Linked DNA regions of Coturnix japonica. The protein of the gene in region 1 interacts with the protein of each later gene in a pairwise test. Links are inferred from orthologs where the notes say so. Each region holds a gene or a part of one and is shown in the gene's direction. Other genes may lie near its edges. The genes, in order: USP54 and ATXN1L.

Region 1 (11,276 bases):
AGGAACAGAAATGCCAGTTTTGCAGTTAGATTTTAGAAGTAATGTTCTTTTTTTTGAAGTATTTTTCAACTTGTGACTGGCAGTCTTGAGGTGTCTTCTTCAGTACTGGGTATGGAAGGAGTTAAAGAATGTCAGTAAAAAAGTGGGGGGTGAGGGGGAAAAGAATCCTTATTGTAGAAAATTATGACAAAGTTGTCTTAATACTTTTTTGTTTGTTGTTAATTCAGATTGGTCCAAAGTGGAAAGATGTTGTGACAAAATGTATTAAGGGTCATTATCAACCTTTACTGTTGCTGTATGCTGATCCAAGAGGAACTCCAGTATCTACACAAGACTTGCCCCCTCAGGTGGATTTGCAGCAGTATAGTAGGACCTGCTATGATAGTGAAGATTCAGGTAAACACTGGACTGCATGTTTATTCCTTTATGCTGAAGTGTTGTGTGTGGAAAGTTTTTATTTTGTTTTGAGTGTGTTTCTGTTAGCATTTTGTCTTTGTTAATTTTCAAAGCTGATCTGGAATTCTGAGGAGGATTTACAGTATATAGCAATCTTTTAAGCATAAAAGTTGGAGTACAGATGGCAAAAAGAACTGAAAGGCCTGTTGAGAAGTGGCTGTAGAGGGGAACAATAACTGATGAATTCATGTGCTGCGTTCATAAATCAATCAGTAGTTCTAACAGGAAAGGAATGATAGCTGAGATGCCTGAACTCAAAAATCAAAGGAAGCTGCAGAACTAATCTTGGGAGGGAAGTCAGGGAAAGGAAACATTAAGGAAACATCACAAATGCATCCTTTTTTGGGATGGGGAAAGGACCTGAGGGAAAGGAGAAGAAATACTGGGGATGGTAGGAAGAGAGGGAATGAATCAGTGAAGTTATCAACTTCTGGCTTGCCTTTTATGAAGTAATATATGAGATACAAACTGATTTGTGGGAGACTGAAGGAAAAGGGATTGGCAAAGGCTTATGCATATAGATGATGTTTACTTGATTTGTCTATTCATTTATTCATTTAAAAAGAATCAGATACAATCTTAGTATAAAGTTTATTAGACTTTCAATTCATAACAGATAAAGTGTGTTAATTATTATGACTTATGTTATTGTTATCTTTATTAATGTTTTGTACTTGACTAATTTTTTTTCAGCTTTGACTTCCCCAGAGTCAGTGTATTTCATACTTAAATTACACTTGACAGACTTGAAACTTAATAAAGAATTTCAGTGTGGTACTACCGTGTATTTAGCAGTCTGAAACACATAGTTTAATTTTGCATAAGAAGTAGATTGGAAAAACTCAGAGTAATCAGAGACAATAGAAATAAAGATTTTTAAGGTCATATGACACCCTTTTCTTCTTGTTACAGAAAAGGGCGTTTTCTGTAAGATCGAGTCTTCTGGGATCTGTGTTTATATACTTGGTCCTCAGCTTTTTGAGATAACTTGTGTAGTTTCCTCTCTTCTTGTGTTCCCTTTTTTAGCCTCACTTGACTCTTTAACAAGCCCCAAGACATTGAAATTTGACAGTACTTTCTTTTTTAGGGAGAGAACCTTCCATCTCAAGTGATACCAGAACAGATTCCTCTACAGACAGCTATCCTTATAAACAGGCACACCATGAGTCTGTGGTCAGTCACTTCTCTTCTGACTCACAGGGAACGGTCATCTACAATGTGGACAATGATGCAGCTTCTCAGAGCAGCAGGGACACAGGTAGCAGATAAATTCATATCTCAATAATCATTGTCGATAAATGTGATGAGTACAGTGAAGCCTAGTGAAGAATCTCTCTCTATGCAGCCCGTAATGGACTAGTGAACAATGTTTACTATCTTATATGGTTTTGATTTGCAGTTAACCATTGTAATCCCAAAGATTCACATAATTTTAAATGTATGGCTGGCTTTTGTAGACTTTTATCTAGCCAGGCAAAGATTTACACACACTGTTTCTGTTATCCACTACCTACTTGCTCTCTTTGTTTTGTAAAACTCTGGAACTTGAAGTCTGTTGTGCACTTCCACTGTACAGTTTGGTAAGTCATGTGCGTACTACTTCTTCTTCATCTATGGGCAGTTTGTTTCAGGAGTTGCAGCTTTCTCTCACCAGGAATCTCCCATACTTGAGTACCGAGGACTTCCTGTGTATGTGTGTTGGCAGTGTTTACTGCACCAGGGAGGAGCATAAGATGATTTCCTGCCTGTGCTATGGAGACAAGTGAGAGCGTATAGTTGGAAAAGAGTCTGTCTTCATATTCCTTCAGGCAGCTGAAGAGTCTGCCTGAAGACTCTCTTGCAGAAAAGAAATGTACTGGAAGTCTGCAAGCTTAGATCTGTATTACTCATGGCCAGTGATCTCAGTCAGCCTGTTTCTGCATGTAGTACTAACTTCACTTCTGAAAAAGCAGAGCATGAGTTAACGACAGACTTCTTGAACATCAGAAATATGAGCTACTAAGTCCATTTGCAGTTCCTTTATTACTCTTTCAAAGACTTCCTAACAGGAATAACTGCTGAATCAGCAACTGTTGGTTGCAACAGTGTCAATAGCTAACACACAGCTGCATCCTTCTGGTTGTGAAGTAGTTGCTGTCACATCTTGTGACACATAAATATCTTTGGTTCATTTGAAGCAATCTGTGGTGCAAGTGTTTCACGTTACAACCTGAAAAAAATGTCTCAAGAAATTTTTCTTCAAGACTTTTTTTTTAATCTTAGCAGTTTCAAGTAACTGTAATTTGTGGTTTTAGATAACTTGAAGGTACTTCTAACCTTTAGCAAATACTTAGCAACGAAAGTTCTGGTAATAGTCCTCAGTAGAGTGTGAGAAAGAAGGGAAAGTTGGAGCAGAATTGGAGAGTGCTGAGGAAACAAAATTTATGTTGATCCAAAGATTACAGAAAAGCCAAAAATAAAAAAGCTGGTGGAGTATTATTTGTGTGGTCTGCAAAAGTAGCAGAAAGTATATTGTATTAGATTACTCTTTGTAAATTTTTTTTTTTAAATAGGGGAGGGTAGTAGGAGGGTTGCCACCATGTAAGCAGATTAAATTCAATATATAACCTTTTTGTTCTGTCATTTTTTAGTGATGCTCTCCTCTTCTTTTTCTTTCTTCTCCCACTGATTCTGTCCTATGTTATTCCCTTCAGTTCTAGACCATTTCTCACCACCTAATTTCAGTCATCCTCATCTTCCCTGACTCTGCTTTAGTTACAGTCAATATGTCCCCTTAGCTAGTCACCTGTCTGGATGTTTTCCCCTGTTATTTTTGCCTTCCTGAAACCTTTCCAAAAAGCCAGTCTGCCAACTTATGCAACTGTTCAGTCATCAAAGGGTGATCCGTGGGGCTATAAAGAAGCCATCCACATTGACCTGTCAACTGTTGCTGCTATTGAATCGTTCTGGGCAAGAGCAGGATTCTACATTTAATGGCCATTTACCCCACTACTTCAGCCCAGAATTTTCTGGACCCTATCCCACATCGCCCTTCTGGGAAGGACCACCATTGGGTCATATGACCTCAGGTACCTGGGTTCTTCAGGATGAAAGCATGAAGGGTGGCTGCATGAGCCCTCTCTTGCTCCTGCCAACCTGTGCTGCTGAGAAAAATGTGCGTATTCTGGCTGCCCTGTTCATGCAACTGAGATTTCCGTGGGAGGGAGCAGTGGATGTTCTGTCTTAATCTGTTTGATTTCATTCTTTTTCTCTTAACATATTCTGTCCCCCATTCCTGCCAAAAAAAAAAGGAAAAAAACCCAACAAAACATTTCTTTTTAATCCTGCTGTTTATGAAGCCATTGGACCCATCCTACACATGGAGGATGAGACATTTAGGAGCACATTCAGCAAGGCACACCCTTTACATGAGCAACCGAGCACTCAGAAATCCTGGCTTTTTATTTTAGTGAAGTAAATGAAATGAGTGTGAAGTTTCAGATTGTATTTCTGCGACTGTTAGTTCCTCTATTGATGCATTACACTGGTTTTAGTCTTTGTTAGGAGAGACAACATAACCTGTGTGTTGCAGGCTTGTGATTCTTGGAATCTCCTCTGTCTGTTAAACCTTCAACAACATTATGACAAAACTGGCAATTTATGAAAGGAGGAGAAAATTTTTATGCACTACTAGCAGCCTTCGTTTTTACAAGGCTGAATTATGTTCTTCTGTAGTCTATACAGACAGACACTAAGCTAGCTAACTAGACTTTGTTGCAGTGCACGAAGAGTGCTAACTAACCATTCTTACTAAGTAAGCTGAAAGAGCTGTAAGGGAAAAAATGTTCACTAGAGAAGTTGTGCACTCTGAAATGAAAAATAATCCTCTTTTTATCTTGAGAGAAACCACAACAAGGTATGAGATGCTACTGTTCTTTCAGTCCCTAGAAGATATATGGCAGTCCATGCTGTGGTGGTAAATGATTTCTCCCAAAGAACTGACTGATTCATGCTCAGTCACCTAAATGCTGTAGGTCTTTAGTCTTCACTGCCAACGTTTCTCTTTTATTCCCTTAGTTCTTTTCTTTATTTTGTTTGTTTCTAAAGAATTTAGCTACAAAATCACTATACAGTTTGCAATTGAATAGAAACATGAGTTTTGTGTAGCCTGCTTTTTATTGTTTGGATTCCTTCCCACTCATACATTGTAGCACCTTTGTAGCAACTGTAGTTGAATTGTATTACTTTTTCAACTGTTTAAAAGTATGATTTTACTTGTAAAATCTACTTTAAGTGTTGTTGAATTTGATGTTAATTTCTAGTAAAGGACCAGGCTCAGAACAGCCGATTACATAGTCTGGGGGCTGTTCATCCACTGTTGAGTAGTAGAGTTTTTCCATTGTTGTCATCCTGTACAAGGTGAAATTTGTTGATGTTAAGGCTAGAAAAGTCTTTGTAGCTTATTCATAAATTCCCTTCTTATCCTGCATCTCTGCTTGGGACTACTCACGTGAGTAAAGCCATGCGTGTGTTTGTGCTTGAAGGCTTAGGACTGTGAATGTGTGAGAACCGTAAAATAAAGAAAATAAATGGTAATACAGAAAACACGTAATTAACTGTCATATACTCTTAATCACATTTTGTCTGGGAATATATCATGTACAAGAGAAAATGCTAGGACACGTGAGCTGTAGTTAAGGGATGTTGTGTGTCAGCTGATCCATGCTGCTGATGTGTGTATGTTCTTAGCTTGTGGCAGATATGAATTAGCTGGCTTAGCCCTAGAGAGCCAACTGAGGCTTCTTCCTTGTAGCCTAAACTAACTCAAATTACCTTTGCTACAGGCGAAGAAAGTGCAGATATAGAATCAGTGTAGAGATGCTGATGATGCGCAGTAATTTTTCCTTAGATGCTGACTTGCTCATGCATTTAAGCCTTCATTCAACAGAATAACGGCAAGCAAACTATTCTTAGTTTTTTGTTCATGGCTATGAAAACTGAGCAAGTGTTCAGACAGCAAGGAAGTGGTATCCTTAGAGCACAGCACGATAAAATACAGTCAACTCTTCTTCTTTTGGATGATCTCTCATTATTAGAGTCATTGGAGGGAGCGTAGCACTTATAACCTTAAAACAAAGCAAACAAACCAGACTCCCCTTCTCCAAGACAAAACCAGAGACTTGTGGATGGAAGAGCTTAACCAAACCTGACAGTTAGCATTGGAGAGGCTGTAGCTCCTAAGGAGCAGAAGAGCCCTACTGTTCTCAGCACACAGAGCACTCAGTCCGAAGGCTCGTCGTCTCAGCTGTGTTCTTCTGTCCTTTCAGGGCACCTGACTGACAGTGAGTGTAATCAGAGGCATATTTCCAAAAAGGGCTCTCTGGCAGAACGCAAGAGGAGTTCTAGTCGGTCTCGGCGAAAAGGGGATGAGACTCAGTCATCAGGATACCACAGTGAAGGCAAGAATTGCTATTTTATTGAAAATATCAGTATCTCTTTCTGATTATTTTTTTTTTAAGATTCTTACTGCATATGTACATTTCTCTCCTTGCCTGCATTTTGTCTTTTGCTTTTTTTTTTTTTTTTTATTTTCCTTTTATTTTACTTTTCAAAACCAGCATGAAGATGCCGTGAGTAGGGCTGATAGCTTAATCTGAAGTTATTTTTGTGGCTTTTGCTCTCTCTTTTATGAACTACAGGAGAAACCTTGAAGGAGAAACAAGCCCCCAGAGCTGCCCCCAAACCATCCAGCAGCACCAGCAGACTAAGGGAATTTAAGGAGACAGTGAGCAATATGATCCACAACAGACCACAGCAAATTTCTCAAACCAACCAAAATTCCCCTCATAGAGGGAGTCACGTGGATCAGGCAGAAACACGGCCCTCAAAAAGCCTCTCTGTGCACTCTAGAGACTGGGAAGTTGAGAGTACCAGCAGTGAGTCTAAATCCAGTTCATCTAGCAGGTACCGGCCAAGCTGGAGACCCAAGAGAGAGTCTCTAAATATAGACAGCATCTTCAGTAAAGACAAGAGGAAGCATTGTGGATACACTCAACTTAGTCCTTTCTCTGAAGAGGCAGGTAAGAGGTTGAGAAGAAAGATTTATGTTGAAGTGTGTGGAATTTATAATATTCTGTTATTCAGTTTCATGTAGGTAAAATAGAAAAGTGAAAGTTTTAATGTGGCATGTAGGCTGGTAGCGACTCATGTCTTTGAAGTTTCTTTGTCAATATTGCATGTGTGATACTTGTTTGCTTTCCATATGTTAAATTTTACATCTTAGAAAGTAATGAGGGAAACTTTACTGCCTGTACTGCTTAAATGGACTCAGTACTAGACAGCTAAATATTTGGAAGTTCACCGCTTGGAGTGGCCTTTTTTATTGGTCAGGGTTTTTCTTCTGGTTATTTTTGCATGATGGCTTAAACTATGGTGTAACAAGTACTTCACACAGTAGTGCTGAGCTTCTGTCATGAGGATAAGAGCAGCTGCTGATGATTTACCAGCACTTGCTTATGATGATTTATACAGCAGCTATGCAAACTGAATATAGAGACTTTGTCCTTGGTTTTACTGTTTTTTGACGGTGAAGGAATCCGTTGTGATCTGCTTCCTGTCTTTTGTACCTGTTGCCCCATCCCCCTGCTTCCCTTCCCCTAATTTGGAAATGAATGTAGCACAGTCACTTTATTTCTACCTCAGGAGGTGGATATTCCTGAAACTGTAATGCTGTGAAGAGCAGGTGTTTACCAGTTTCTTTCTTTTTGTTGGTGTGCTACTGGAACTGCTGCTTTGGAACGTGTGTAGATGAGAAGGAAGAGATTTGTTTGACTGGCTGTGGAGTGGTGGTTAACCAGGGCACTTGCAGCAATTTTTGAGTCTTGAGAGGCAGGGACAGTGTCACCTACTGAAAGGAACTAAAGGCTTAAAGGAGTTGAGCAGCATAAATGGATAGAGAGAAGATAAAGATATAAGAGAACACAGCTTCAGGAATAGAAAAAGCCAGAGGAAAAAAAGGAAAAAGGTAAAAAGAAAAAGAAAGCAAAGGGGCAAGTGAGAACATACAGGAAAATCAACAAATGTAGCATCTGAAGTTAATATGACAGTGCAGTATAAATTGGAATTACTAAAGGCACAGTTGGGTATAATGTTAAATGATTTTTGTGAATACAAACTGTTAGGGGGAGAAAGGGATTTTCTTTCCAGATTGGATTGTTACTTTGGGAGAATATGGTAACATATTAAATGGAAGAGTTTTGAAACCAAATTTGCTGAAGAGTGCTGCTTAACATTAACAGAAATGCTGTAAAAGTATTGTTGTTTTTTTTTTTTTCATTTTCCTATTTCTAATGTGAAATGATCTTAAAGACAGTACTTCTGGTTTAAGCATAATTGAGATAATTGAGGAGCAAAAATGTGCATCTTCAGAGCAGCAAATCTACACATCTTCTACTAGGTTATTCTCTTTTATCTCAACAGGAAAAGAGCTTATGGAGAATGAGGTCAAGGAACGTACTGTTCAAGAAACAAGGTCAAGCCAGTCAAATGTCAGATACAAGCGTCCTGTGCCAAGCCGAGGTACCCAGCATGTGATGGATCAACATCCTCATCTAATACAGAGGATGGAGTCTGGATACGAAAGCAGTGAACGCAACAGCAGCAGCCCAGTTAGTCTGGACATGCCCTTGTCTGAAAGTTCAAGCACCCACAGGTAGATTTTAACAAACTTCGTTTTTGGTGTGAAGTCTTTGTTTCTTTTTCGCTGTGTTATGTAATACTGTAGAACATTAAAAACAGAACAAACCAAAGTTAGCCCCATGAAACCAAGCCAACAACACAAAACAACAATCCTAGCTTACAAGACAAGTTCCTTGTGGCAGGGAGAAATAGAAAGGAAGTACAAATCTGAGTGAGATTGATCCCTTTTCTTGTCAGTATATCGATAACTTAATGCTGATGATGAGTAACGAAAAGGAAAATGAATGAGAAATGTAATGTTGAGTGAAATTATGCATCTGAAATAGTCATGCCCTTAGTCTACAATTTAAAATCTCGAATATCAAGCTTAACATGTCCTTTGAATTTAGAATTGGTCTTTTTTCTTTCAGATAAATAATTGTTTCATAGAATCTGTGTACAAAATCAGAAATTGATAGTCTTGCAACCTAATCTTGGAAGATGAGGAGCTTAGGAGGAAGTTTTTTCACTCAGAGGCTGGTAACACACTGGAACTGGTTGCCCAAGGAGGTTATGGATGCCCCATCCCTGGAGGCATTCAAGGCCAGGCTGGATGTGGCTCTGGGCAGCCTGGTCTGGTGGTTGGCAGCCCTGCACATAGCAGGGGGTTGAAATTGGGTGATCTTTGAGGTCCTTTTCAACCCAGGGCAACACATGATTGTCGGTTTGAGAGATTCACTGAAGTCTTGAAAAACATTTGCAGTGTTTATAAGCAAATGTAAGGGCTACTGTCCTCCTGCTTATTTGCTTTCTCTTCATCTGTTTCTCCAAATAATTTTCTGTGGTATGCTTTTCTTTTTTCCCTTGGGACTATAAATTAAATTGCAAGTAAATATTTTTGTGACAATAGAAAATGTAGACATAACTTCTCCTAAGGAGTTTAATACTGTGAAATGTAATTACTCTTTTTGGAGGGACATTCATATGAAACGAACAGGTGGATTGGTTCCTGCCTGGCGTAGCATCCCAAAGTCTCACAGTAGCAGCATACTGGAAGTGGAGCCTACTTCGTCAAATGGGAGCTGGGCGAGCAGCCCACGTGCCATTGGAAATGGTAAGATGAACTTCTCAGTAGTAGTGGTTCTGTGAGTTAAAGTTTATTGGAGTTGTCTTTTGCTTTCTGGATGTTTATCTTTGCAGTGCAGTTATGAAAAAAAGGAATTGAAACATAGAAGAATATAACAACACAGCTTAACTAGTAGTAACTTTGGTTTACCATATGAAATGGTAAAAAACTTATTTGGAATGTTCTTTTTGATCATGCTGTTCTTGTGTCATTTTCAACAAAGACTGATTTGACTGATGAAGTAAAGCTGTTTTTCCTTTTCTTTCCCATAATTCAGTATTCTGCTATTAGTTGAAAATGTCTTCCCGAGCATAACTCATGATAACTCATGATAACTGTTGATTCCTGAAAATAAGCTTATAATAGTGTATACCACGTTCAAAACTGTCACAAATGTGATTAAGCACTTACAGGGTACTTGGACTAAAGCTGAGCTTTTTTGCAGATGCACATTCCAATTATCCTTCTGAGGAAATCCTTCCCCTTACCCAGATATTCTCAGGAATTAAGTAATGAGGGAAGATAGTTTCTATATACAGGTCAAAGTTGAAGTGAGACTGAAGACTAATTTCTGCAGTGTTGACTTGTACCTGCGTACACATAAGCCTCTTTTCCTTCCATTTTCATCAGGCTACGTTGGCATAATGTTGGTTACAGTTCCAAGCACAGTAAGAAGTATCAAGATTTCACCAGCAACTTAGAATTCTCTTTTCAGATTTTTCTGTTTCACGTGCTGTTTCTTGTGTCAGTGAATTGAGGGAAGGGCTGTGCTACAGGGGATTGTGGACTAATACTGCAGTGCTTTTATCAGAGCCACTGACAGAGAAGACAATTGGAAACCAAATGACTTTGGGCAACCATTAAAAGTAAAATTGAACAAAACAGAATTTGTGGTCTGAAATTCTGTGGTCTTTGGTCAGTATGTTATTTTCTAATGGCAATTTTATTGTCCATCAACATTACTTTGTCTTTTAATGGATACTTTCAGAGATCTTACTGTAAAAAAAATTTGTTTGGAAGGTGGGGAGATGTTTGCCCCTTTGAAGAGTGAACTGGATGAACTGCAAGAGGAAGTGGCAAGAAGAGCACATGAACAAGAACTACGCAGGAAAAGAGAAAAGGAAATGGAGGCAGCAATGGGCTTTAATCCCCGTCCCAGCAGGTTCATGGATCTAGATGAGCTACAGAATCAGGGTAACTTTTTGAACGCAGTATATTTTGCGAGATTTTGGTGCTGAAGCTTTCTGAAGTTTAGAGCTTACTTTCCTACTCTCTTCCCATCCTCCACTCCCACACTGCAATTTTCTGTCTTCACATAGTAGAACGCTATCAGTTTCAGACTTACTGCATACAGAAAACTGATTGGCATTTTGACCATATTATTTCTTCAATGTGACAACAAGGTAAAAGTTTCTAATGCAGAGAGGTTTATAATTGCACCTTTCTATTTTGTGTGTAGTGGTATCTAGATTTAGCTTCAAGGCTTCTACCAATATTTTGGAATAAGCATTCAGATACCTCAGATCCGCCTGCAGCATTGCTTGTCCACTTAAATTGTTATTTTCTTTATTTTTCTTGCTTAGTAGCATCACTGACCTAAGCAATTCTGTCTGTTCCTGCCTTTATACTCTATGATTCTCTCCCTGTTCAGCTGCAGCACAGGGGTGACAAGTAGTGGGGTGAGCTTAAATGGGTAGAGTACTTCAAAAAGATACATATATATTACGTCTTTCCTAAAGGACAAGAATTGGAGAGAAAAACATTGAAAAAGCCAAATATTCAGTCTTAGTATGTCTGCTCCAAGACTCCCTGCCTTTCTATTAAGAAGTGGCAGCAGAAAAGGAGATTTAATAGGAAAAATGCGACTGTAACAGAGGGAGATTAGTGACAGGATTCAAGTGTAGCACCGTTGTTTTATTCTCAGTCTCCATTAGCTGGTAAGAGAAGGCTGGCTGACCCAGCTGAGAAACTTGGTAGAATGCTTAACTGTGGGTTCCTGGAGGTCAGCAGAACCAAGAAATGTGGTGAAACATGTAGG
Region 2 (16,535 bases), on another chromosome or scaffold:
GAGAGCCAAGATGGAGCAGGAAAGATGTGAAGCGTGGCCTCCTACACTAAGTCACTCTTAAGTGCAGAACCATCAGGTTACGGACCATCTCAAGCTTCTGCTCCTCAGAACAGCAGCAGCAGCAACTACAAGTGAAACAGCTGCTTTGTTTGTCTGCAGATGTTTACAGACTGCAAATAGATTTTAGGCATCGATCTGGTTTGATATCACAAGTCCTTCTGCTCTCACGTTGTATTTTAAGGGTTTATGAATTGCTGAACACCATCTCCAGTGATCCGTTACAGTAGGCAGCGCTGCTTTCCCAGCCCTTCCCATTCTGTGGGTATTTCCATAGAGGGCTTTGTTTGCCCAGTAAATCTGGCTCTGGACAATGGAAAGTAAACAGACAAAGCCTAAATCACTTCAGCCAATGGAAACAGCACCAAATGAAATTACCATACACGTGAAGCACAGCCTAAGAACCTTCATTGTGTGTCCTTCAGAGTTAAGGCAGGACTTCCTCATTCACTGAGGAGGCAGAAAAACCAAGAGCCAATACTGAAGATCCAGTAAGATTTCATTGTCATCATCCATTCATTGAAACAAGTACGTAAAGACATTTGTAAGCATGGATTATATTATCAACAAATCACGGTACAGAAACTATTTCCTCTAAACAACACACAGGCAGTAAAGCAAGGAACCAGCAATTCAGAAAGCAAAGGAGAAGCAGCTCCTCAGCTCTCACAATACAAAGCAATACCAGCCTCACGCTGCCCAAGAAGTACATTTCACTTCCTGTCTCAGAAACATTAAAATGATCTCACTACATAGTAGTGAGCCTAGATTTTGACAGTCCTCCAGGCTAAAGCCAGCCAGAGCTGCACCTGGAGGAGCCACATCATCCTCAGGAACTTCAACGGCAGCTCTGACACCACCGGCCACATCAGGTGATGCATCACAACGGTGTTGACACAGATCTAGAGAGTAAATGATTACAAAGCTGGGAGAAAACAAGCCAACAGGGACTGGGGATGATAACTATCAAATCCACAGTGCTCTGGCCTGCAATTCTAAGTCACATGAGTGCACACAATTAGCTTTTTTTTTGAAGGCTTGGTAGAAAACATCCAAAGTAGAAAAACAATCAGAAGAGCTTGAATGGAGGCAACAGGTTTGCACGGATATTCCTCCAGGATGTAAAACATCCAATTCACACAAGACAGCAACTAACCTGCCAGGTACACACCTGACCAGTCTGCATTTACAGCTGTACAGCTAAGGGGGAAAAAACCCAACAAAAAACCCAACAACCTACACTAAATGAAAAAGAATGCAACGACCCACCTCTCCTGCTTCTGTCAAGAAATACACCTCAGCATCCTCCCCACCGCAGTCAAATCAACAGAACAACAGGAAACACTTTTCCACATTCATGCTGCCAAGCAATCCGTAACTCAAAACTATACTGAGAACTATGACAAGAGTAATAGCAAGGCAGGCACAAGGTCTCATGGACTCCATGGATACGCAGTCAGCACACTTTTATTATGCTGCAGTTGGATAAAAGGGAAAAAGAGAACGAAACAAGGCTCCAACAAGCTCCAGAAGGGCATTATTGACAAGAACTTTTGATTTCCCTGATAGCAGGAGTGAAGGATGGACAACGCGCAGCACGACTGTGCCACAGGCCGGCAAGGCAGTGAAACCTGAACCTGGCAGAACCAGAACTGCCCTAGGATTTGACATGTGAGCACTCAGACTTCACTGAGGGAAGGAACTGAGGCCATGTATTAATCATCTGACAAGAGCTAAAAACAAGAAGAATAATGAAGAACCATGAAATCAAAATATGAAGAGGATGAAGAATTTAGAACTATAAGACATAATAAGCAATGAACTATAAAATCTGTCTCAACATCAGGCAGGATCTTGAAATTAACACAACGAATCACTTTAAATAGTAATAAGTAATACAGTAATAAGTCTCTGGTAACCACAAAACTATTGAACAGCAAACTGCCATTAACAGTAAAATGGCACAGAGCTCTACATTTCAGAGATGCATTTCATTGCACAAGATGATGAACAGAGAGAACAACCATATAATCTAGGAACAGCACACCTGAAGTTTAACTTTATACAGCTTAAAACCTCTTTCAAAGTAGCAAGTCTTGTTCTTCAGGATCAATTAGCACTTTTCCTTCCATACAGAACATACATCTTGTTCTTGTTCCTTCCACATCAACACAAACGGCAACGCAAATTTTAAAAGCAATCACCTCTGTAACAATTTAACAGATCGATATGATGGAAAAAGGTGATTCACCAGAGATGAAATGACGGGAGGATCAACGCGATAGAAAGCTGCTGTAAGGGAAGAAGACTGCTCAGCCGTGTCAGAAGATTCCAGGTTCACAGGGGAAAGCTCCACCAAGGAATCCCCAGGCACAGATCCTCCCACGGCACAGTCAGCCCTGCAAGGAGCACTAACAGAGGCAGCCAGGCTCCACCCCCTCCTGGTCACGCAACTCAAACACCTGCTCCCTGGGCTCACCAGCTCCTTTCCCCAGGTGCTTAATCACTGGTTCTGTTCCCATTCAGCCTCCTTCCTCATTCTGTTCTTTGCTACCCATAAACTCCAGAAATCGGGGATTATCTCTGAATACCTGACAAGAACCTAACAGTAGGAACCACAATTTGTTTCATACTTTATCAGCTTGAAGGCCTTATTCTTTAAGAAGCACTTCTCCTGATATGCAAAAAAGAATGAGATATCCAACTCAGATTAATTCCTGTGTTTGGGCAACTGGTGCCTAAATTCATCCCTCTCCAACTCAGTAACTCCTCACCAAACCAACCAGGAAGGAATTCCTCCTTCATGAAATTCCTTCTTGGTAAACTATCCAAAAGTGGAATAAAAAACCCACGTCAACCAGCAAAACAAAAATCGTAATGTATTAAAAACACTTCATTGTATTATACTTTATGCTTCTAAACAGGTACTTTCTCCTCCCTTGCAGTCCTTTAATAGATGTGTTTGTACTGCATTAAGTTTGAAGATCTTACTTAACAGGCTATTACCCCCAAAATACGTAAACATAGAACCTTGCTACGGACCTGCTTGAGAATACCACCGCATCCAAAGGCTGTTAGCAGTTAACGTCTTATACCTGCAAGCAGCACCTGACCCTGCTGAAACCTCACACATCAAAGTACTCAAGTGCTTCAGTCAACCCACAGCCAGCCATCAGGAAATTAAGCCTCAAGACCCTGCCCCCAAGTCCTGCAATCCCACTCCTTAAAAAACAACACACCCCGCACCCCCACTTTTGCGAAGTTACGTAATTCAAACCTCCAACTGCAATCAGTAACAGAATGCCCCTACTTCCTTCATTAGAACTGATCGAGCCTCCTGAACAGGAAAAGAAAACAGAAGGTATGTCTGGATAGACTGTGCAAAAGGAAAACGTGCAGTGGTTAACCTGAACAGACCAAACAACACTGCCAGGGGGCTTCACACCATCAGACACCTGAAAAGAAAGTGGCACAATGGCAGTAAAAAGAGAAATAAAACACTACAAACAGAGACCAGACTGGCAAGGAAAAACTAAGAAGAAAGAGATACCGGCACAATGTTTAACATCATCCATATTTATACAGAAAACAGCACGCTCCCAACCAAGCAGCACAGCCATCATCACTGCCATCATCACTGCGGGCAAAGGCAACACACAGGAGTTCCTAAAAAGCAACCAACCATACAACATTCAAAGGGGAACGTAGCGTGTGTTGAGAAAAAGCTATTTCCTACAACACAGGTAAATAACAAGTGGAAAATAAGTAACATAGGGATATCAGAAAGAAATTAAGGCAAAGGAAATGTCAAGACAGAGAATGATAAGACAAGGAATCGGAATAGTCTGCATTATACAAAGATGGGGGGCTTGGGAATGGAAGGAAGCATGGAACACGCCTAAAAACGGAAGCTGAAAAAGCAGCGGCAGAGGATGTGATGGTGCAACGTGCAGGTACACGGACAGCAAAAGGCAGCACAGGTAGCACGCAGGCAGGGCAGCACGTGTGTCACTGCTTCGAGACTGAACCACACACCTTCCCCTACACTGCACTACAACAAAGTGCTGTACTGCCAGGTGCCTGGAAATGCTCATTGTGGACCTTTATCTACAGCATCTCCAAAGTGCCAGATCAAGGCAAATGCCACTAACTGCAGTGATATTAGCAGATATTCGTTTGCACTGCTTCTTTCTGAGTAACAGCACTGTGTATGTTTAGTGACACCAAATATCATCCAATAAAGTAACACAACCATCATGATCGATGAGACTGTTTTCCTCAAAGAACATCCCAGTGTGATCCAGAACAAGTTCACATGGCTTTCAGACCAAAGATTTTGCGCTCTTATTAAACAAAACAGCTCATCTCTGTCTGAAGATGCACAACACCAACTCAAAAACATTAATGTAAAGGAGGCATCAACTTCAGAAGCCTTTATGCTCTGAAAGGCAACTTCCCAATCCTTAACCCATGCAGTCTGTCTGCATGCCTAAGAACAGACAGATCCAGCTCCTTTCTGCTGCTCACAGCCTTTTTATTCCACAAACGAATGTACCAATCTCATCAGGTTACAGTGACGCTAATTCAAACCTCCTATTGCAAACAGGCTATCAAGATTGGAAGGATCTACCTGTCACACTCACTCATCGGCCAGGACAGTGCCAAAAGTACGGACCAACTCCGCTTTGATTACGGTGCCCCTTGAAAAAAGAAAGGTCAGATTAAAAGTCACAGGAACAAAGAAATGGAAGAGAAGAGAAGAGAATGTCCCTCTATCAGAAACACTAAAATAAAAAAGGAACCTGAAAGCTGTTCTACACAGCAGGGCCAGGACAGCTGGGTGCCTCACTAACAGACCCTCCTTTCTGCCGTCAGCTCACAGGAATTGAAGCTCGTTCCTCTCCTCCTCCCAGCGCGGCAGAAGCGAGGGCTCACCCTGCACAGTGCCCTGAGGAACAAGGCCTCCCGCCTGCATCCAGCTCACGGGCATCCAACGAAATGCACCGTTTGAAGACAGGACAAGCAGGAAAAAGGAAAAGTTTTGTGGTAGAATGGGAATGCTCCCTGTCTGCAGAGGAAAAATACAGTCTGCAGAAAGGGGGAAGAAAAGTAAACAAGCGAACGGAAGATCGAGATTGATGTTACTGCAATGAAGAACAGGGAAAAAAATCTTCAATGTGTCATTTTAAACACGGGGTGAATGGAGGATCGCACAGACAGAAATACGCCCCGCGCTGCTTAAGGCGGTGAGCGCCAGATGCCGCTTCTGGTCCCGCACGTGAAACGCCCTTGGAAGCGCTTCCATTTAACTCCGTATTTTTCCATTCGCTTCAAGCTTTCAGAACCGAACGCAGCACGGAGCCCTGAGAGCCCCGCAAAGCGAACGGCGGTGCCGCCCTCCCGCTGCCGAACCAACGCCCAGCGTTCAAACGAGCAGGGTTTGCCCTGTGGCTCCCGAGGAGGAGCGGGGAAGGCTCCGAGAGGGCCCCGATCCCCGCGCCGCCTTCCAGCCGCCGAGCGCAGCCCGCCCGGTCCCGGCGGATCTCCCGCCGCGCTCCCCGTTCTCCACGCGGCGCCGCGTGTCGTTACCGAGCGCGGCCCGGCCCGAGCCCGCGGCTGAGAGCACAAGGCCGCGAGCCGCGCTCCGTCCCGCCTCCCACAGCCCCGAACGGGCGGCACAGAGCGACGGGAGGAGCCCGCGGGAACCGAGCGAGGGCGGGAGGAGCGAGACGGGCCGCGGGACGGGACGGGAGGACACAGCCGGGACGGGCCGAGGGACGGCGGGCAGCGCCCCGAGCACGGCGGGGCTCGAGGCTCCGGGCCGAGGGATCCTGCGGGACGAGGCGACGCCGACAGAGAGCGGGACCGGGCACCGCCGGGAGCGGGGGACGGAGCGGAGAGAGGAGCGGGAGAACGGGCGGGCGGCGCGGATGGGGGCGGCGGGCGGCAGCACTCACCGGGCCGGTCCCTGGAGCGGAGGCAGCGGCAGGAGCCGGGCATTCAAAATGGCGGCGGCTCGGCCTCAGCACCGATACCGCAGGCGGAGGGATCCGCACGGCACGACGCTCCTCGCGGCCCCCCGGGATCCGCCGGCGTCGGTCCCGGAAAGCGGCCGGGCGGCCTCAGCCGGGGCGGCACCGACAGGAGCGGGACGGGCGGCGGCGGGCGGCGGGACGGGAGGAACGGGCCGCGCGCACTATTTGTCCCGGCGGAAGCGCACGAGGCTCCGCATCGCGAGCAGCGCAACGAGATGCCGTGGCAGTCGCTGATGACGTCACGGCGGGGCGGCCCCGCAGCGCGACGCCAGTTACGGACCGAGCGGGGACGGGGCGGGGCCACGCGGGGAACGTGCGCGGTGTGCGGGCGGGGCGGGGCGGGACGGGACGGGACCCGCGTGTGCGCTCCGGGTGGGGCGGCACTGTTAAAGCGCGGCCCGGCGTGTCCGTGCGCCGCGGGCAGAGCGCGCTGCCCACCGGTCCGGTTGGTTTTGTTCGGTTTGTTTTGTTTTTCGTGCGGCTTCTGGGGAACGGGAGGGAACGAGCCGCTGCACGGCGGGGCTGAGCGCACGGAGCGGCACCGCGTGAGGAGCCGGAACGAGCCGCCGGAACCCGCGGAGCTTTGGGCACCGTAAAGAACAGCGAGTGCCGCCAAACACGGGACGGAGCGGAGGAACGGAACGGAGCGGGACCGGGGGCTGCGGGACGGGAACGGCTGAGGGGGGCGGGATATGGCTGCGGGTACCGGGACGGAGCTCAGAGCCTGAACCGCACCGGGCCGGGATCCGAACCGGGATCCGAACCGGGATCTGAACCGGGCCGGGCTGAGCCGCGCTGCTCCGAACGGCCGCCTCCCTCACCCGCCCCGTGTCCGCTCGGTGCCGGTCGCGCTCTGTCCCGCCCCGCAGCCCGCTCCGCTCCTCTCCTCCCGTCTCGCACCGCCCCGGACCCGTCTCCCCGGTAACGGACGCTTCGGGCTCCGCTCCTTGTCCCCGCCCCCCTCCACCCCCCCGGCCCGTGAGGCGCTTCCGGCGCGAGGCCGCGCGTCATCGCCGTGCGCCGCGGGGAGGGGCCGGGCCGGAGGCGGCGGTGGGAGCGATGGGGCCGGTGTGGCCGGTGGGGGTCGCGGAGGAGGAGCCGGGCGATGGCGGGTGAGCCGCGGGCCGGGCCGGGCGACGGGCGGGATCCGCGGGGCCGGGCTCGGGCAACCTCCGTCCCCGGGGCCGGAGCTCCGCAGCGGGGCGGGGTCCGGCGGGTCTCGCCGTCCGGGCGCGGGGTCGCGAGGCTCGTCCCCGCGGTTCCGTGGTTCCGTGGCGGCGGCGGGGCCGGGGCTCACGGCTCCCTCTGTTCCCGGTGCAGGTGAGGCGGCGGCCGGCGGCGGGGATCCGGGAGCCGGCGTGCGGCAGCCCCTGCGGGTGCCCCCATGAACCAGCGTCGCGGCCGGGGCTGCCGGGACACCGTGCGGCGCCATGAGAGCGGGCCACGAGCGGAGCCAGGAGTGTCTCCCGCCAAAGAAGCGGGACCTGCCCGCAGCCAGCGCCGGCACGGAGCCGGGACGGGCGGGGGGCGCCCAGGCTTCGGCCGAGGGCCCCGAGTGGGCCCGGACGGGCGGGTCGAGCACCGTGGCCCTGCGCTACGGCCCCGGGGAGGCGGCGGAAGCCGTGGCGGGGCTGACGGTGGACCAGTACGGGATGCTCTATAAAGTGGCGGTGCCGCCCGCCACCTTCTCACCCACGGGGCTGCATCCCGTGGTGAACGTGAGCCCCCTGACCCCCACCTTCAACGTGACCTCGCCCATAATCCAGCACCCGGGGCTGCCGTATCCTCCCATCCATTACGCCCAGATCCCTCCGACGTCCCTGCAGCTCATCGGCTCGCACTACACGGTGCCCTATGCCGTCCCTCCCGGTTTCCTGCCTAGTCCTCTCCTGTCTCCTTCTAGCAACCTCACCACCTCTCACGTCCCCCACTTTGTGCCATATGCCTCTCTCTTCACGGAAGAAGCTGCTCCTTCCCCCCAGACTACCTCTCCTACCCACAGCTTCAACAAATCTGCTCCTGTGGTCTCTCCTGGCCAGATGCAGCACCATGCCGGGACCCAGCCGCTAGATACCACACCAGGTAGGATTCCTGTTTATTATCAGATGTCTCGCCTCCCACCTGGGTATTCAGGATACGAGACACCTTCAGCAGGTGGAAACCCAGATTCTTCTCAGCAAGACAGTCCGCTGAGTTCGGAGGTGGCTGCTGCCAATGGTGAACAGAGACATCTGGAGCACGGTGTGGTGAGGAGGACCGGTGAGGCAGCGGATTCTGCCAGCAGTAAAGCTGAAGACTGTCTGCCAGGGTCTGCAGTGAGATGTGTTGTTGATGGACAGTTTCTTTCAGGTTACCAGACGTTCAGAACAGAGGTTTCTGCGCCAGCACATAGAAGCACACCAGACGCTGATCTGGAGGTTCAGAGGGTGGTGGGGGTGTTGGCCTCTCAGGATTATCATGTTCTGGCAGCCCAGAGGAAAGATGACCCGAGCCCTTTAAACCTTTGCCATAATATCCCTGATCAGCAGGGGGAGTCGAAGAACATTTTGAGGAACACGGTGGAAAGGGGCGCTGCTGAGACGAGCCAGTCCAGGAGTCCGTACGTTGCATCTCCTGAAGAGAAGGTCAGACAAAGACAGTTAACCAAAGGAATGGTGATAGCTAACGGCAAGCCAGTCCTGGTTCCAGCTGGCTCTGAGCCCATCAGGTCTTCCATTTCAGAAGCCCTGGTGAGGCAGAGCCCAATTGTGCAGGCTCAAGGAGGCGTGCTTGACAAAGACCTGGCCCAGCTACAGCCACCCAGCTCTTCTCGCTTGCCTTCTCACTTCATGAAAGGAGCCATCATCCAGCTGGCTACAGGGGAGCTGAAACGAGTGGAGGACTTGCAGACTCAAGACTTTGTTCGCAGCGCAGAGGTGAGCGGAGGCCTGAAGATTGACTCGAGCACTGTGGTGGATATTCAGGACAGCCAGTGGCCCGGGCTTGTCACGTTGCATTTTGTGGTTGGGGAGCAACAAAGTAAAGTAAGCATTGATGTGCCCCCAGAGCATCCATTCTTTGTGTATGGCCAGGGCTGGTCCTCCTGTAGCCCAGGGCGGACTGCTCAGCTCTTTGCTTTGACCTGTCACAGGCTGCAAGTGGGTGATGTCTGCATATCAATCAGTTTACAGAGCATGAATGGCAACTCTGCTTCTCAGGCTAACTACCCTTTCACAGATCAGTTGATATCTACTAGGGAGAGATCTGAAATAACTGCTCAGGGGTCCAGAGAACCATCTGACAGAACTGCTGAAAGGAAGACCCAGACAGAAAGGGAAAATGCAGCTCAGAGCTCCCATGAAGAACCTTCTCAGCCTGAGACTGGCAGTCAGCACAGCTGGACAGCCCCAGGCTTCCAAAGATACAGCGTGCAGGCAGAGGAGCCGCGTCACTCTCTGCTCCGTCCCTCTTTCATTCCCCAGGAGGTCAAGCTGTCTATTGAAGGGCGTTCTAATGCAGGGAAATGATCCCTTTATGGTTGTGAGCGAGGGCATCCCCTGTGGGTGAGCCTTACCTATGTCGGGTGGAGAAATTGCACAGACTTTGTGACAGGTTCACCAGCAAGACTGCTTTCTGCCCTGCAGAGCTGGATTTATTCCAGTTCAGCGGCTGACCAGTTCCTCTTGGGGAATATGGGGGGCTCCAGTGCCTCAGGAAGCAGCAGCAGGCCGGCTGGGGTAGAGAACATGGATGTGCTCATGAGCTTGCAATGAGAGCATCCAGAGGCTGGGCTTTCTTGCACCTCTCTGAATAACTGATTCCCCGCCGGGCAGGGTCTAAGCATTCAGGGAAGGTAGGGAGATGGGAAAGGCAGACATGGCTTAAGGTAGCAGATGAAATTGCTGAAGATTTTATTCCTCCTTTCTCTTGATGGGGAGAGATGGGTCTCCTTTGGAGTTTAGGGGGCTCTACTCCCACAATCCCCTTTCTTCACACATGCACTTTAAAAAGACCGTTCACCAACGGAGCTCTTGAGGGCAGGACGCAGGTGCTTCTCTGATGGTTCTGTTTAATGTCTCTTCCACTGAATCCAACTGCTCTTTTTGCAAAGAATGTACAGAAATTTCCACTAACCACATAAATTCAAGAGGAAGGACCAAAAGGATGGGTTTGGGTGCAGGTGGATAGAGAACTTGAGCACTTGAGATGGGACACAGAACAGGAGACTTCAGTTTCCTGCTATGAAATATTTTTATTGTCACCAAAATTATTTAAGTATTTGCCACCAAATCTAATCTTCCTTCCTATGTTAATAACCTTGAAAACAAAAACCTCTTGGGCGTATGGCTTTTATGCTTAGTCTGCAGGTGAATGGGGTTATGTTTTTTTATGTTGTGTTGTTCTTGTTTTTGGAAAGCGAGAGTTAAACATATTTAACATTCTCTAGTGAAAATGAAAATGCATCCTTCTACTGTAAGAGGACCGAGACTATTGTGTAATTAAATCAGAAGCAGAACTTTACAGATGGCTAGTTCTTCCCTGCAGGCAGCCTTCCGAATAAACTGTAGACAACAGACAAGTGTTTTTGCATGTGGAGGCAAAGTACAGATCTTCTGCTAGGGACTCTAAAAATACCACGGCATTGTGAGGCGTTTTGGGTGTTTTTCTGATCGTTCTGATGCTTCATTTTGGAATTCCTCTGTGGAACTGAGAATAGTCTTTTTCAAAGTGAGATTTAACAGAAGTGTAATAACACTCCATTCAGGTGAAGGCTTCTGTAGTTACACTAATTTAACCTCTCTGGTGCTGCAATATGACACCAGCTGTAGCTGCTTAGATAGAATAAAAAAGTCACTATTTTGTTGAGAATAAGAGTCTTCACCGGCTTAGCTCGGGTTTAAGTGTTCTTTGTGTTAGAGTGCCCATGGCTGTGTTAGGTCCAGGCTTCTGAGGGTTTCTTCTCGGCACGTGGATCCCTGGAGAGCTGCTCCTGATGTTGGCACCATTTTCCATCTCCCTGTTCTCATCGTGCTGAAGGTTCCTGCCAGGCAGCAGCGTGCTGCTGCTCTCACCATCTCCCCGCTCAGCTCACTTGCAGTGCCGGTCCAAATACCGTCCAGTAAGGTGTCCTCTAAATGTTTGGCTTCAGTTGACTGCATGACGAGGATGTTCTGCACAGGTGCTAGGCCAGCTAGAGAGTCTCCTGAATGGTTTTCCTAGTACATTGCTGCCCATTTCTGTTCTTTGACATTCCTGCACCAGGAAAGCAATTTATTTTCAGGCCTTAGTTGAGATGTGCTCCGTTCACGCCTTCAGTGTTTGTGCCTCACAGGGTTTCAGAGTGAGGATGCTGCCTGTGTCACGCGCAGCTTTCCCCCAATGACACACAGCTCATGATCTCATCAGCTGCATTTGGAATTGTACAGAGTCGTGGTGACGCTGTCACGTGGAGGTGCTGCCTCCTTTGCCTGTGGGAAGGATGTTGTCTTCATGACACTGTTTGTCAGTGAAATGTCCCGTCTGGGCCCTGTGCCTGCCTGTCACATGTGATTCACCGTCGCTATTCCCTGAAGTCTTACACAATGGCCTTGACTAATGCTGGTTACTATCTCATGCTCAGGAAATCCAGGTGTCTGCGCCGAGACCAGAAGGCAGCGCAGCCTGGGTTCTCTTGCCCTTCTTTGCATGGTGCATGCAGAGCAACTCAGAACTGTGGCAGGCGGCTGAGGAAGGGATCTTGCATTAAGTACAGCTGATGAATGTAGAAGGGACGTTGGATACTCTGAGTGTTTGCACATCTGAATGGTGCAGAACCTCTCGAGCACCTGTTTGAAGGTGTAAGTCTCGGATAGTTTGTTGAGCCCCCCTTGTCTCTTGTATGTCACTGTACCTACTGCTCATAGAGCCCTGGCACTGGGCAGCGGTCTGAAAGAGCTGGTGTATGAGGCAAGATGCTGCCAAGCGAGAACAGCTCTGTACTTTGGGCAGCTGGAGGGCTGTGCCTGTGCTCACCATGGAGATTTCATGCTGCCAGTCTGACTGTGCCTGTTGAGTTCTGAGCTCTTCAGAGGAGACCAGGATGCGTTAGACCTCGGGGTTTCTATCCAGATTCCCTGCACGTCCCACTGCTGAGTGTGTTTCGGCTGCCAGCTCTTCTGTTCCCTGGAAGCAGCAGCTGGGGCAGTGTCATGGATGGGTGTTAAGATGAAGGATTTTGTCAACTCGGTTGCTTGCCCGGGTGGCCGTTGTCAGGATGGGAACACTAGAGGCCCTCCAGCCCTTCTGAACAGTAGTTGTAATCACTGGAGTCTTTCCTTACTGCATTGGGCTGCAATGCTCATCTCCTGCGGTGGTGGTTGTGTTGTGTTCAGGCTCACCCGAGACAGGGAGTGTGAGACAGGCTCTGCTGTGGGCAGCTAGACCACGAATGAACCCGTGGAGGAAGATTCAGTTTCTTATGTTCAGGAGTAGCAGAGAGAAAGCCAGGAAGAGACTGTGGAATCAGCTGGTTATTCAGACCCTTCTGCAGGCAGAGACGTGAGAGGCTTATTAGAGAAATAAACCATTTTCCTGCTGCTGTTGTGAAGTGAGGCAGATCTGTGGTCTGTCCTACCTGGAGGAGGAGCTGTCCTGGCCTCGGTCTTACCCAGCTGGCACGGAGGTTGTGGGAAGTGTCTGAAGGATGCAGTAACGGGTGTCTGCAGCAATTTGTTCCACCGCATCAAACATTCCTTGGGTTGGCTGCCCAGCAGAAGCCAGGTCTGCTTCCAGGCCCAGCGTACATTGTTCCTCCAGGGACATGAGATTTGCTCCAGGTGACGAGCACTCATCACTACCAGACTATGCAGAGGAAGCTCTGTCTGGAAAGGAGGAAGGCTGCAGAGGTCCCTCTGCCTCCCCTTCCCAGCAGGTGCACAAGTATAATGCACTTTTCACGTTGTGTCCCCGACCCTCCCGTCCCCACCCCACACTTGAAGTCACTTTCCCCAGTAGAGAACTAACAAACCTTATTACTCGGAAAATATTTTAAATGAAAACTGCAGCAGCTCGAGTAGCCCAAATGCTAGTCCCTGCCCATAGCAGTACATGTGCCTTTCCCTAGCGTCACTCACAACTGCTCTTTGCCTTTCAGGCTGTCTTGAGCCTGAAACTTTTGCAGAAGCTGCTCAGATGACTACGAATGCACATTCTATACCGAGTTTGGCCCAGTGTGATCCATGTAGGGCTTAATGTGCTGATGGTTGAGACTCCTCCGTGATCTTCGTGCCTGTCCACATAGGACGGGACTTGCCCCAACGTCCCAGGCTGCTGCTGCCCACCCTGCCAAGCACCGCGCGCATTTGGGTTGCTTTCTGCCCTGGTGGCACCTCAGAGCCCAGGGAAGGGTCTGCCCACACAAAGCAGAGGAAGATGTGTGGCACTGGGGGACCAGCTGGGCTGCCCTGACACAAGGAGGTCTTTGTAGATAAGTGCTGATCCCTCAACTATAATCCCAGTTATGTAATGGCTGTATTAACATGTAACCGACCGCATTGTATCTAAAGCCTTAGAACTAGTCAGGTGCTCCTCTCCAACCCTGCTCCCACCCTGTTCCTCCTACCTGATCTTTAACAAAGCATTAATAATTCTAAGGATAATCTCTATTTTGTTGTGCTTTTTTTGTAACTGTTTTAAATAAATCAATTTGTACTGTATATTTGTACTTTTGGTGAGATCCTTTTTCCTGTTTTACCATTTTAAGTCTGTACTTGGCTACACACAGATTGTATTTTTATTGTTAATGCTCTTATGAATATTCCATTTAACTTGTTGACTCTGTAAACACAGTATATATCTATCTATCTATATATCTATATATAAACCAATAGCTTTTCCTTTGGTGTTTGAGACTTTTTGCTTGTCTGTGGCATCAGCGATCACTTAGATACGGGTTCTGTGGTCTTATACAGTGATCTGGGATCTATGGCTTCAGCTATAGTTTGCACAGCAAAACACCTGCTGGCCGAGCAAAGCACACATCGTAGAGTAATAGCAGCTGCTGCAAAGAGCAAACGGAGCTTGGCATGAAAATGGAGGTAAGAATAAGAGAGATCAACTTTTCCAAAGAGAGCGAGGCCAGACTGGGAGTCATTGTGGAGAATGAGAAGTTAAAACAACTTCTGCGTGTTGAACAAAGTGTGGGCTTCAAAAAAATTAAAAGCTTTTTGCAGCAAGTGCCCACAGGACGGCCTGCAAGGTTTTGTGTCCAGATCAAAGGAGCACTGTGTGCTCCAAAGGCAGCTATTGTAAGCACTGAAGTGTGGCCTTCAGATGGAGTCCCATCAAAAGGATTTGAAAAACCAAGTTGTTTCTGACTAGTCTGCCCAAAGGGTTTTGATGTTTCAGCTCGGGTCCGAGGTGAGATTCTTGTGGCCAATTTCTGACTTAATGCACAGACCGCAGCTCCCCACACACAGATGTACTGCAGGCCTTTGCAGGGAGCGTGGTCTGCAGGGCACCACGTGCAACGTGTGTCACAGCAGTTTGGAGAGCTACAGCTCACTCTTACATCACCATTCTCTTAAATGGAGGATGTATGACTTCTCTGCCCCTTCACTTCCCAGTTCTGCACTAATGTTTTGTCTTTTACAGTCAAAATACGCTTAGGTTTAATTTCCATAGTTGCATAGTTTTATAGTTATCTGTAGTAGCAAGGGGAACATTTTCATATATGTACAAATCCCTGTTACGTTCTGCACTGTCTGCTTCTAGGCTTAAATTCGCTGCTCTCCAGCAGATATTCCCAGACTCGATTATTGTAGCTCTTGAGGCTCCTCCCCAATTCAGGACTTCTCTGCATTACTCTCATGGGTTCTGTTACAGCGCAGAAGCAAAAGCAGCTTTCTGCTTACAGTTTCCCCAGCCATTCCCATGTGTTACCTGCAGTGACCACTGAAAGTCATTGTTGGTCAGAGAATTGTCATGAGGGACGAATTGCTCAGTGTGTGACCCGTGATCCCAGATGAGCAGCATTGCATTGGGCAGTATTAAAGTTGAACAAGCTCATTTCACTTTGAAATCCCAGAATGGCTGAGGTTGGAAGGGACCTGTGGGTCCATCAGGTCCAACTTCTGCTCAAGCAGGGACAGCCAGAGCAGCCCAGCCCGGACTGCATCCCAGCAGCCTTTAGAACACCTCTATGGATGGAGTCTCCACAGCCTGTCTGGGCATCCATGACAGTGCTCTGGCACCTGTAACTTATGCTGCAGTAAACAAGTTTCTGTTCAGCAGAACATCTTACCTATAGCAGAACTGCAGCAGCCTCAACCCACTTAATGGTGTGAGGGTCCAAGAATAGGACAAAGCGCAAAAGATAAAGAAGGGGGCTAAATAAACATGAAACATTAATTTATTTTCCCGCTGTCTGAAGGCTGTGGCTGGCCCCCCAGACTGTGGCCCAAATCTGCTTCCACCAAATCTACTTTGGCAGACGTCTGTCAGCTCCATTCTCCTCCTATTTCAGGAGGAAGCCAGAACTACCTATGCAGGAGTGTGACCCCGGGAGCTATAGCAGCCCCCCGAGCACAGAAGCCTGTTGGTTTGTCTGTGACAGACGCAGCGGAGATGGCAGCCTTTGGCTGCAGCTCAATGCACCGTACTGTTGCTCTGCTCCTCAAAGGTCATTTTGCCCAGCAGCTGGTTCTCCAACTCCACGTTGCCGACTGGCAGCTGGAAAAAGTTCATTTCAGCTGCCAAAGCTGCCATTGCAGAGGAGTCCTGGCCAAACTGTGCCCGCAGCATCATGTCCATTTTCTCCAGGCGCCGCTTCAACCTCTTGGCCTCCCGCTCCCGGATGAGCCGGGCCTGTCTCTTCTCTGGAGTCTCGTTGGCACGTTTCAGTCTCATGGCTTCTCGGTCTCGCTGCAGCCGCCGCGCTCGCTGCTCATCTGTCTCCTGCATGCGCTGCAGGCGCTTTGCCTCTCGATCCCGCATCCGTCTCACCTCCCGCTCCTCGGGAGTCTCATTGTCCCGCCGGCTCTTCTTGGCGGTGCGCTCTCGCTCCAAGCGCTGCAGACGCACTTCCAAGGGCTCGTTCTGCCGACGAAGCGCCCACTTTCGCATGCCGGGTGTCTGCGCCTCCAGCAGCTTACGATAAGCAGCACAGTTGTTGCATACCAGGAGGATGCCTGCAGGATACACGGGGCTGTGAAAGGTAATGTCCTTCCCACTGACGCTGGAGGGGCCCTCGCTCTGTGGCACAGGCAGGCGATCTGCGCTGAGCACCTCTGTCAGCTTCTCACTAGAAAGCAGAAAGAGCAGTGTCAGAGACTTAGTACTGACGGAAAAGTCCTCACCTCAGACTGATAGGGAGGCTCCTACCGGAGCCCGTGACAGAGACCTGTGCCCCAAATTGCATCTGAATATCTAAAAATCAAGCAACATCATATATAGGAGTAGGAATGGGATTTGCCCTGAGCAGTATTT

Evidence for each region.
Region 2: the proteins of USP54 (region 1) and ATXN1L interact in binary tests that used the Homo sapiens proteins (3 or more experiments, as listed by UniProt). The link is inferred for Coturnix japonica from reciprocal best matches to the Homo sapiens genes USP54 and ATXN1L.

The regions. Positions count from the first base shown.
Region 1 is NC_029521.1:13,657,346-13,668,621, forward strand, and holds part of USP54 (inactive ubiquitin carboxyl-terminal hydrolase 54), read left to right. Parts: intron 1-227; coding exon 228-396; intron 397-1,543; coding exon 1,544-1,714; intron 1,715-5,762; coding exon 5,763-5,894; intron 5,895-6,134; coding exon 6,135-6,515; intron 6,516-7,914; coding exon 7,915-8,146; intron 8,147-9,083; coding exon 9,084-9,226; intron 9,227-10,258; coding exon 10,259-10,432; intron 10,433-11,276.
Region 2 is NC_029526.1:17,647,646-17,664,180, reverse strand, and holds ATXN1L (ataxin-1-like), read left to right. Parts: upstream 1-7,104; 5' UTR 7,105-7,204; intron 7,205-7,412; 5' UTR 7,413-7,522; coding exon 7,523-9,598; 3' UTR 9,599-13,203; coding exon of another isoform or gene 13,204-13,301; 3' UTR 13,302-13,945; downstream 13,946-16,535. Other genes in the region: ZNF821 (zinc finger protein 821), read right to left, coding at 15,696-16,350. UniProt on the Homo sapiens protein: Chromatin-binding factor that repress Notch signaling in the absence of Notch intracellular domain by acting as a CBF1 corepressor. Binds to the HEY promoter and might assist, along with NCOR2, RBPJ-mediated repression.